Linked DNA regions of Canis lupus familiaris. The protein of the gene in region 1 purifies or fractionates together with the protein of each later gene. This does not show direct contact. Links are inferred from orthologs where the notes say so. Each region holds a gene or a part of one and is shown on either strand. Other genes may lie near its edges. The genes, in order: CD19 and CD81.

Region 1 (4,410 bases):
ACCACCAGTTCTCGTGTGATCTCAGGCAACACTTTGCCCTTTGGGGGCCTCAATTTCCCCATTTCTAAGTGGGTTCCTTCCATCACCAAAGCAGGGGCTTCTTGGGGGAAGAAGTGGGAGACTAAGGGGCATTTGTCACCAGGCATGTCTTGGGTTTGCTGTGCAGGAGCTCCAGGGGCAGCCTGGCTTGTGCTCTTGGCCATTGACTGATGCTGTCTCTCAGTAACTGAGGGCCTACTATGTACTGGGCCCTGGGGACAAATGCCATAGGTACACCACCCTGTTTAATGTCCACAAACAAGGGACGCCTGGGTGGCTCAGTGGTTGAGCGCCTGCCTTTGGTTCAGGGTGTGATCCTGGAGTCCTGGGGTTGAGTCCCATATCGGGCTCCTTGCATGGAGCCTGCTTCTTCCTCTGCCTCTCTGTCTGTGTTTCTCATGGATAATTAAGTAAAATCTTTTTAAAAACTGTTCACAAACAAGATTTAAAAAAAAATATTTTAGTTATTTATTCTTGAGAGACACAGACATAGGCAGAGGGAGAAGCAGGCTCCTCAAGGGGAGCCTGATGCGGAACTCGATCCTGGGACCCCAGGATCCTGGATCCTGCCTTGGGCTGAAGGCAGACTGAGCTCAACCACTGAGCCACCCAGTGCCCCCCAAATGAGATTTTGCTAGCGCTATTATTATCCCCAGTTTACAGAGAAAGAAACCAGAGCTTAGAGAGATGAAGAAACTTAGCCAAGTGGTAGGCACAGAGTATTCTTTTTTTTTTTTTTTTTTTTTTTTTAAGATTTTATTTATTTATTCATGAGAGACACAGAGAAAGAGGCAGAGACATAGTCAGAGGGAAAAGCAGGCTCCATGCGGGGAGCCCAACGTGGGACTCGACCCTGGGTCTCCAGGATCACACTCTGGGCCGAAGGTAGTGCTAAACCACCGAGCCACCCGGGCTGCCCAGGCACAGAGCATTCAGTCAAGTCTTCCAGATCTCAAAGGATGTGTGACAGGCTGGTTTTACCGAGTGGGAAGGAGGCCCAAGAAATGTCAGTCGAAAAAATGAATGGGGTGTATGTGTGTGTGTGAAGAGAAATGGGTTTAAAGCCTGGGGTTAAAGAAGGGAAGGGGAGGAGAGAGCCCCCAAAAGTGGAGCCACTCAATTCAACAAATATTTATTGGGCCCCCTGCTATGCCCCAAGCACCGTCCCAGAGCACCGAGCATACAGTGTTGAACAAGACCAAGGCTCTGCCTCAAGGGGCTTACATTCTAGTGGGAGGAACAGAAAGTGAACAAGTAGACACACAAACAAGATCATTTCACACGGTGGTTAAGTATCGGGATGAAAATAAAAGCGTGGCAGGGAGAAGACAAGTTTTGTGGGTCTAGAGGGGTGCATGGAGAAGGGGACTGGAGGTGTGACCACCCCTTCCTCCCTGGGGGACTGCCCGCTCGCCCGCCCCCACAGACGCTCATGGTTCAGTGCCCCCCAGGCCCCCGCCTGCCCCAGCATCCCCTGCGCGGCCAAGCTGGGTGCCCCGGGGAGTCTGGCCGCCATGCCACCTCCTCTCCTCCTCTTCTTCCTCCTCTTCCTTACACCCGAGGGAGTCAGGCCCCAGGAAACACTGCAGGTGGAGGCTAAAGGTATGTCCAAAGGGTACAGATGGAAAGAGTTGGGGGTGGAAACTTGGCTTCCGCTGGGTGCCCTCGGCCAAGGAACCCACCCTCTCTGGGCCTTCATTTTGTTATTTGCAAAATTCAGGGAGGAGTTGGGACTCTGAGAGCTCACACACTCCCAGCTGGTGGGGGGTGCTGGGTAATAATCCAGTGTGAGGAATGAAGGGGGCGAAGGGTTCCTCTCCCTCTTTCTTTCTCCTCAGAGGGAGGCAAAGCTGAGCTGCCATGCCTCAAAGTTCCCTCAGATGGTCCCCTTGAGCAGCAGGCCTGGTTTCAGGGGGCTCAGTCAGAGCTGGGCCTCTGGTCACAAGGCCTGGGCGTCCGGAAGGGGTCTCTGGGCATCCAGCTGTTCGTCTTCAACGTCTCTGACCAGATGGGGGGCTTCTACTTGTGCCAGCCGGGGCCCCCTTCCGAGCAGGCCTGGCAGTCCGGCTGGACAGTCAGCGTGGAAGGCAGTGGTGAGGTCTGGGCTGGGGCAGGGAGGGGCGGACGAGAAGAGGGAGGCCCAGCTCGGATGGAGGCCTTCAGCAGCTAAAACAGATTTGGGAGGAGGGGCTGGAGGGGCTGAGGATCGAGCATGCCTGCCGCTGGTTCCAGGTGGCTCCTCAAAACTCCTGTGGCTTTGTGACTTCAACACTGAGCTGTTCCATCTTTCACTCTCTCCTCTCTCTGAGTTGTCGTTCTTATCTCTCTCTCTGGGTCTTTGTCTCCATCTGTCTTTGGTTTTCTGGGTCTCTGTATCTCTCTGCCTTTCCTGGATGTGTCTGTATCTGGTTCTGGGTCTCTTCCCAGGGGAGCTCTTCCGGTGGAATGCTTCAGCCCTAAATGACTCAGGCTGTGGCCTGGGGAACCGACCCTCAGAGGGCCCCAAGCCCTCTTCTCGTTACCCCACAAGCTCCCAGCTGTACGTGTGGGAAAAAGACCACCCTGAGATCTGGGAGACAGACCCTGAATGTGCCCTGCCCCGGGGCACTCTGAACCAGAGCCTCAACCAAGGTAAGGTGCTGCGGAGATGCCGGGAAGGGAGGGTTTCAGGGATGAGGGGATGGTGATTGGGAATTGGAGGGTTTGCAGGGAGGAGACCCCAAGGATCACATTTTCCTAGCCTTGGCTCTCCCTGCCCCAGACCTCATCGTGGCCCCTGGCTCCACATTCTGGCTGCCCTGTGAGGTGCCCCCTGCCTTCGTGGCCAGAGGCCCCATCTCCTGGACCCACGTGCGCCCCAAGAAGCATAACATCTCCTTGCTGAGCTTAGACCTGAGGGAGGATGCCCCAGGCAGAGAGATGTGGGTCCTGGGCACCCTCAGCGGAGGGGCTGTTCTGTTGCTGCCCCAGGCCACAGTTCGAGATGCTGGTACCTATCGTTGTTACCATGGCAACAGGACCGTCGAGATGCAGCTGAAGGTCATTGCCCAGTCAGGTAGAGCTTCTCCCAATGGTGGGGCATCTGTGTGGGGCTCCTGGGAAGAACTGGGAGCCAGTCAACCTTGGCGCCCCTACCTGGGAGCTAGTACCAGACTCATCCCAAACCCCAGCTTCTATCCTGACCACTGACGCTACCTCTGCCCTCCCTTGTTTCCAAATCACTACTTTTCTGGGTCTCCTATCACTGGTTACTTCTTCCCAACTGCTTTGGTAGGGTCTTCCTTCTCCTCCTCCCCCCTCACTGTTGGACCTCTGAGGCCTCATCCTGTTCCATCAGTGCTCTCTCATTCTTGTTTACACACTCTTCCTGTTTGACCTCCTTTACTCCCATGACTCCTTAGGCCTCCACGCCTTAGTGACTTGATTCCAGGCTCCATACACCTCACCCCCAGCCATTTCCTGTCATTTGATGCCCCTGAAGGTTCAAAATATACAAAGTCATACTCAATATCTTCCCCAAGTCTTGTGGGTGTCTGTGTGTCAGTGAAGGACACTACCACCTGCCCATGGGCCAAAGCCAGGAACCTGGGTATCCTTCCTTTTCCTCACCCACCCATCAAACTGGTCACAGTGCTCTGCCCCTTCTTACTCCCTTGATATAATCCTCCCATGCTAACCGTAACCACAGTTCTCAAACTCAACCTCAACTTTCACTCTACACTTCACCCCAGTACATTGCTGCTTCCTACCTCTAACTTTGTGAATGTGACTCTGTCCTTCACTTTGAACATGACTGTCCTTAACTGCAGCAGGAAGCTGATCTTCATGCTCTCCTGAATCCCAACATAGTCTAACTATAGTAATGTTTTTTTTCTGTAGATACTGCCCTAGGCCTCAGGTCAGGCTCTGGGGCATGGTCCCGGACCTCAGAGGGAGGGAGGCGAGCCCCCCTGGTAGCTTGTGATTTGGGGGTTGTGTCTTGTCCATGTCCCCAGACTTATGCCCCTTTGAGGTCTTGAGGCTGGGGAGCAGCATGCCAGCCTGGGGTCCCTTCTCATAGCTGCTTCTCCCTCACAGTAAGGTACTGGCTGCTGGAGACTGGTGGCTGGAAAGTCCCTGCTGTGCCATTACTTTATCTGATCTTCTGCCTGGGTTCCCTGGTGAGCTTTCTTCATCTTCGAAGAGGTGAGTCATGTCCTCCAGCCTGTCTGCCCAACATACCCCATCTTCCCCAGGACCGCCCAGGACAGCTCACACCAGCCAGTCCGATAGCCACCTTTTCTCTTTCCATACCTCCCCCACAGATCTCCAGTCCTGCTTCCCACTCCTCTAACCGCCCTCCAACTTACTTTGAAGTCCCCTCCCCTCCAT
Region 2 (4,394 bases), on another chromosome or scaffold:
GTGGGCTCATGAGCCCCCTCTGCTCCCCTTCCCAGAGGGCCCCGGGAAGGCCTTTCTCAGAGGATTCATCCCACAGCTTTGGCAGGAAATGAACCTATCACTGTGGTCAGCGGGGGCCTGATGGGAGAGCAGAGTGCCCAGGACACGTATGCAAGCATCCTGTCACCCTGGAGACCTCTTCTGCCTCCTTTTCCGCAAAAAGAATCCTAGCAGGGCCACCTGGGGAGCTCAGTCGGTGAAGCATCTGCCTTCGGCTCAGGTCAGGATCTCAGGGTCCTGGGACAGAGCCCTCCATCAGGCTCCCTGCTCAGTGGGGAGCCTGCTTCTCCCTCTCCCTCCTGCTTGCACACTCCCTCTCCCTCTCTCTCTCAAATAAATAATCTTTTTTTAAAAAAAAGAACCCTGGCAGACCCCAAGTGAGGATGTAAGCCATTTTTATTATAATGTTATCTCAACACACACAAACACTACACTATGTACAAACACGTGTGCATAGCTCTTATACAAGCAGGAAGCCAGGATGGACTTTGATTTTATTATTATATTTTATTTATACCCCAACTTTCTTTTTTTAAGTAGGCTCCACACCCAACACTGGGCTTGAACTCACCATCTCCAGATCAAGAGTCCCATGCTCTACCAAGTGAGCCAGCCAGGTGCCCCTGGAACAGATTTTTTTAAATTAACCACCAAGAAAACTACAGAAATAAGAGTACAGAGACAGGAGTAAGCTAGGGCTGCTCCGGCTAATAGGAAGCTGCTGGCCACCCAGGGCCATTCCCACTGCAGTGAAGTACAATGAAAAATCTGGGTCCTGCTGGGTGGTGGCACTGGCCCCGTGTCAAGGGGTCAGCAGTCATTTGTGCCAGGGTTACACGGAACATTTCCACTTCTTCATCCGAGAGTCACCAGGCCACAGGTCCGCTCTGTCACCTGGGGAGAAGCACTGCCCACTTGATGGGTCCCCTCCTGCCCGCATCCCCATCAGCCTGCCCCCCGGCCCCCATCTTCAGAAAACCGACTTGACTGTGGGGCTGGCCTCCACCGGGGTGAGCAGAGTACACAGTGTTTGGAGGCTGTCCTACAGGTGGCTGGGGTCTCCTGGACATTTAACACCGGTCACCGTCTCAGGGACCTTTCCAAGCAGACTCTGTCGCCGTGCTCAACAACTGCCCTTACCGTGGATGACCAGGATTTTCAAGCCAGGCCGGCTGGCTGTCAGGCTCATCACCCACCCTGGGGGGCACTCGCTGCTGCATCACCTCCTCCAGGGAGCCTCCTTGGATTGTCCGAAGCGCCTGGGGAAGGCCGAGAGAAGGGGAAGGTGTTCGCAGGGCGCCGCGAGGCCGGCCGGCGTTGGGCTCGGGGCACCCAGGTCTGACCCCCGCGGAGCGCGCGCTCCGGGGGCGGGGCGGGGGCCGGGGGCGGGGCCGGGGGCGGGGCCGGAGCGCCCTATAACAGGCGGCGGGGGCGCGCGCGCGGCCAGAGAGCGAGCGCGCAGCGGCGGCGGTCGACCCAGCGCGCCCCGGCCCGGCCTCCCGCGCCCCGCGCCCCGCGCCCCCGAGTACCCGCGCCCCGAGCACCCGCGCCCCGGGCCCGCGCCCCGCCCCGCCGCCCGCCAGGCCCCGCGCCCCGCGCCCCGGCCCGGCCCGGCCCGCCCCGCGCACCCCGCAGGCCACTCGCCGCCCGCGCCGCCATGGGGGTGGAGGGCTGCACCAAGTGCATCAAGTACCTGCTCTTCGTCTTCAATTTCGTCTTCTGGGTGAGCCCCCGGCGGGGGGCGGGGGGCGGGGGGGGCCGGGACGCCCCGAGCCCGGCAGGCCGCGCGCCCCACTAGGCCGCGCAGAGGGGCCACCTGTGGGCGCCGGGCGGGGGGTGGTCCGGGGCCGGCAGACGGGCGGAGGGGGTGCTGCGAGCCGGCTGTCGGGGCGCGGGGCCGGGCCGGGGCGTCCGGGGGGCCGTGGGGGCTGAGCCCGCCGAGCGATGGCGGGCGGCGCGGCGGGAGCGGGCTGGGGGCCGCGGGCCGCCGTGAGGGGACCACCCTGCTCCGCCGGCACCGAGGGGGCTCGGGGGGCGGGGCTCCCGGCGCCCCGCCCCCATGAGCTCATCCGAGCCGCCGCCCCTGGAAGGACGGGGGGGCGGGGGGCGGGGGGCAGGGGGGCCGCGCACTCGGTGCGGTCCTGGGAAGCCCTCGCCCCACGGCCGGCCCAGCAAGCCCTGCCGCCCCGGGGATGGCCGTGGGGGGCCCCCAGCGGCCCGCGCCTGGTGGGGCCGGCCCCCTGCACTGCCCCCCCAGCCCGGGGTTGCAGCCTGCCCCGGCCAGGACGCGGTGGAGGCTTTGAGGGGAGTGGGGCCAGGGCGGGCAGGGGGCCCCGTGGACCCGAGCGCCTCTGGGCCCCTCCGGAGCCTGGGTCCCAGGGGATGCCCAGGTCTGGGCTTCGGTCTGAGCTTGGACGTCCACCTTGGAAGAGGTAGCCACAGGATGTTCATCTTGGGGTGCAGGAGGGTCTCAGGGCCGTCAGGCTGCTGACCTGCAAGTCGCGTTTTCCTGGCCTGGGTGGTAACTGCTGGCCAGGAACGCTGGAGCTTTGGCTTTGTTTCGGTTTCCTGCCTGTGTTGGAGTTGGGGAGGGGCCCCGAGTGGGTGCAGGAACCCCTCTCCTGGCGCTGCCCTGCCTCCTCGTGGCCAGTCATGTTCCCCCCCCCCACCCCCCACCCCCCGCAGGACCTGGGAACCTTCCTGGGTGGCTGTGTGCTGCTCGCCACCCAGGCTGCTCACTCCTTCTGGGAAAGGACCATGACAACATCTGCTGGACAGTGTATTTCCCAAGTAGATGCAAGAGGGTAAACTTTTAAAATGGTCCCCAGAGCAAGTGTGTGGGATTGGGGACATCTGTTTCCGTTCTGGACATCCGAGGATCCCAGCGTGGATCTTGGGGCAGTGAGGTGTTTGGGGTGGCGGGGACAGAGACTGGACGGAGCTTTAGCTGAGGGTGAAGTGGAGGCATTGCCCCCCGCCTGGGTGGGAGGCACAGCTGGGGGTCGCTGTGGCCACTGGCCTCTGCCTGGGGAGTGGGGAGCACGGGGACTGTCAGGATGGGCCAGGTATGACCTTAACCATGCCTGGGGTCTTTGCCGAAGAGGTGGTGTTGAGTGTCGATTTAGTATTTGCCTGCTATGGCCTGGGTGTATAGGGGTCGGGGTGAAGGGACACCCAGACACCCCTCTGCTGGCCTCTGAGCCCCTCCCCTACCAGCGGAGCCTGGATGTGGGGTGAGGACCCTGACCAGGAAGTGGAGGGTAGACAGACATAGAGGCTGTCTTCTGGAGTAGATTCTTGTCCTTGGGCTGAGTGTCAGCTCTGGGTAAGTCCCTCCCCGCTGCCCAGCTTGGGAGGTCTCCAGGGCAGCCCGCGCTCACCTCCCAGCTCTGCTTGAGCGAGTCCGGTAGTTCCCCAGGCAGCTGGGCAGAGGCCTGACACATCCCCAGGGGCTGCTCTTCATTGAGGCTTGAGGAAACGTTTCCAGGCCTCTCCTCTCCCAGCCACCCAGCTGAGCACTCAGCGCTGCATCCCACGGTCCAGTTGCCTCGGTCCCACCCACCCCTGCAACAGACATGCAGAGCTGAGCAAGGTGGGGCTGGGGGCCACCACTGTGGCAGAGCCCCTCTCTGCGGGCGTCCCGCCTCACCTGGCTGGCAGCATGGTGCCGAGGGGCTGGTTCTGGGTGGTGGAGCCCTGTCCCCTCTGCTGCAGTCCTGGGCCTTGGAGTCCTGCCCCCTGAGGTGGACGTTTTCCACGTCCTGTCTCCCGGGGCTGGCAGATTAGCTAACACCCTTACAGGCGAGCTCAGGAGGTGGTCGTAGGGCACGGATGGCCGGCAGGAAGACTGCTGTCCTGCTGTCCTGGCCCGGTGTGGGCTGTGCCTCGGGGAAGGGGTTTCGGATGCCCCAGAGGGTGGTGGGTGAGGGAGGGCACCCCAGTGCCTGGCCTGACTCGCTCACTGTGCACCGTGGCCACCGTACAGGAGTGGGTGCTGAGGGGGAGCCGGGAGGAGACTTTGACAGTGGGTACCTGCATCGGGGCAGTTTTAAAAGTTTCATTTCAGAGAGTGAAAAGGCTCACACATGGGAGCAGTCCTCAAAGGCAGCCAGGCTGGCTTCCCCAGGAAGGAGTGCGTCTCTCTCCTCCTGGAACCAGGACTTTGGGACCCCAGGTGGCATGCACTCAGCATGCCTGACCACAGCCTGACTTTGGGGCTCCCTGGCCTGGCAGGCATCAAGCCACGAGTAGGACTGCAAGCAGCAACCGTGGCCAAGCCTGGAAGACGATGGCGCAGACACCCTGCCCCGCAGCGTGGAAATCCTCCCGGTTGGGGGTGGGACCCGGAGCTTCCT

What was found.
Region 2: the proteins of CD19 (region 1) and CD81 purify together in Homo sapiens (affinity purification with western blotting, with the first as the bait; 3 studies listed by BioGRID). This does not show direct contact. The link is inferred for Canis lupus familiaris from reciprocal best matches to the Homo sapiens genes CD19 and CD81.

Annotation. Positions count from the first base shown.
Region 1 is NC_049227.1:18,583,665-18,588,074, forward strand, and holds the start of CD19 (B-lymphocyte antigen CD19), read left to right. Parts: upstream 1-1,489; 5' UTR 1,490-1,553; coding exon 1,554-1,641; intron 1,642-1,877; coding exon 1,878-2,132; intron 2,133-2,466; coding exon 2,467-2,670; intron 2,671-2,779; coding exon 2,780-3,094; intron 3,095-4,116; coding exon 4,117-4,224; intron 4,225-4,410. UniProt on the Homo sapiens protein: Functions as a coreceptor for the B-cell antigen receptor complex (BCR) on B-lymphocytes. Decreases the threshold for activation of downstream signaling pathways and for triggering B-cell responses to antigens.
Region 2 is NC_049239.1:46,911,245-46,915,638, forward strand, and holds the start of CD81 (CD81 antigen), read left to right. Parts: upstream 1-1,497; 5' UTR 1,498-1,696; coding exon 1,697-1,762; intron 1,763-4,394. UniProt on the Homo sapiens protein: Structural component of specialized membrane microdomains known as tetraspanin-enriched microdomains (TERMs), which act as platforms for receptor clustering and signaling.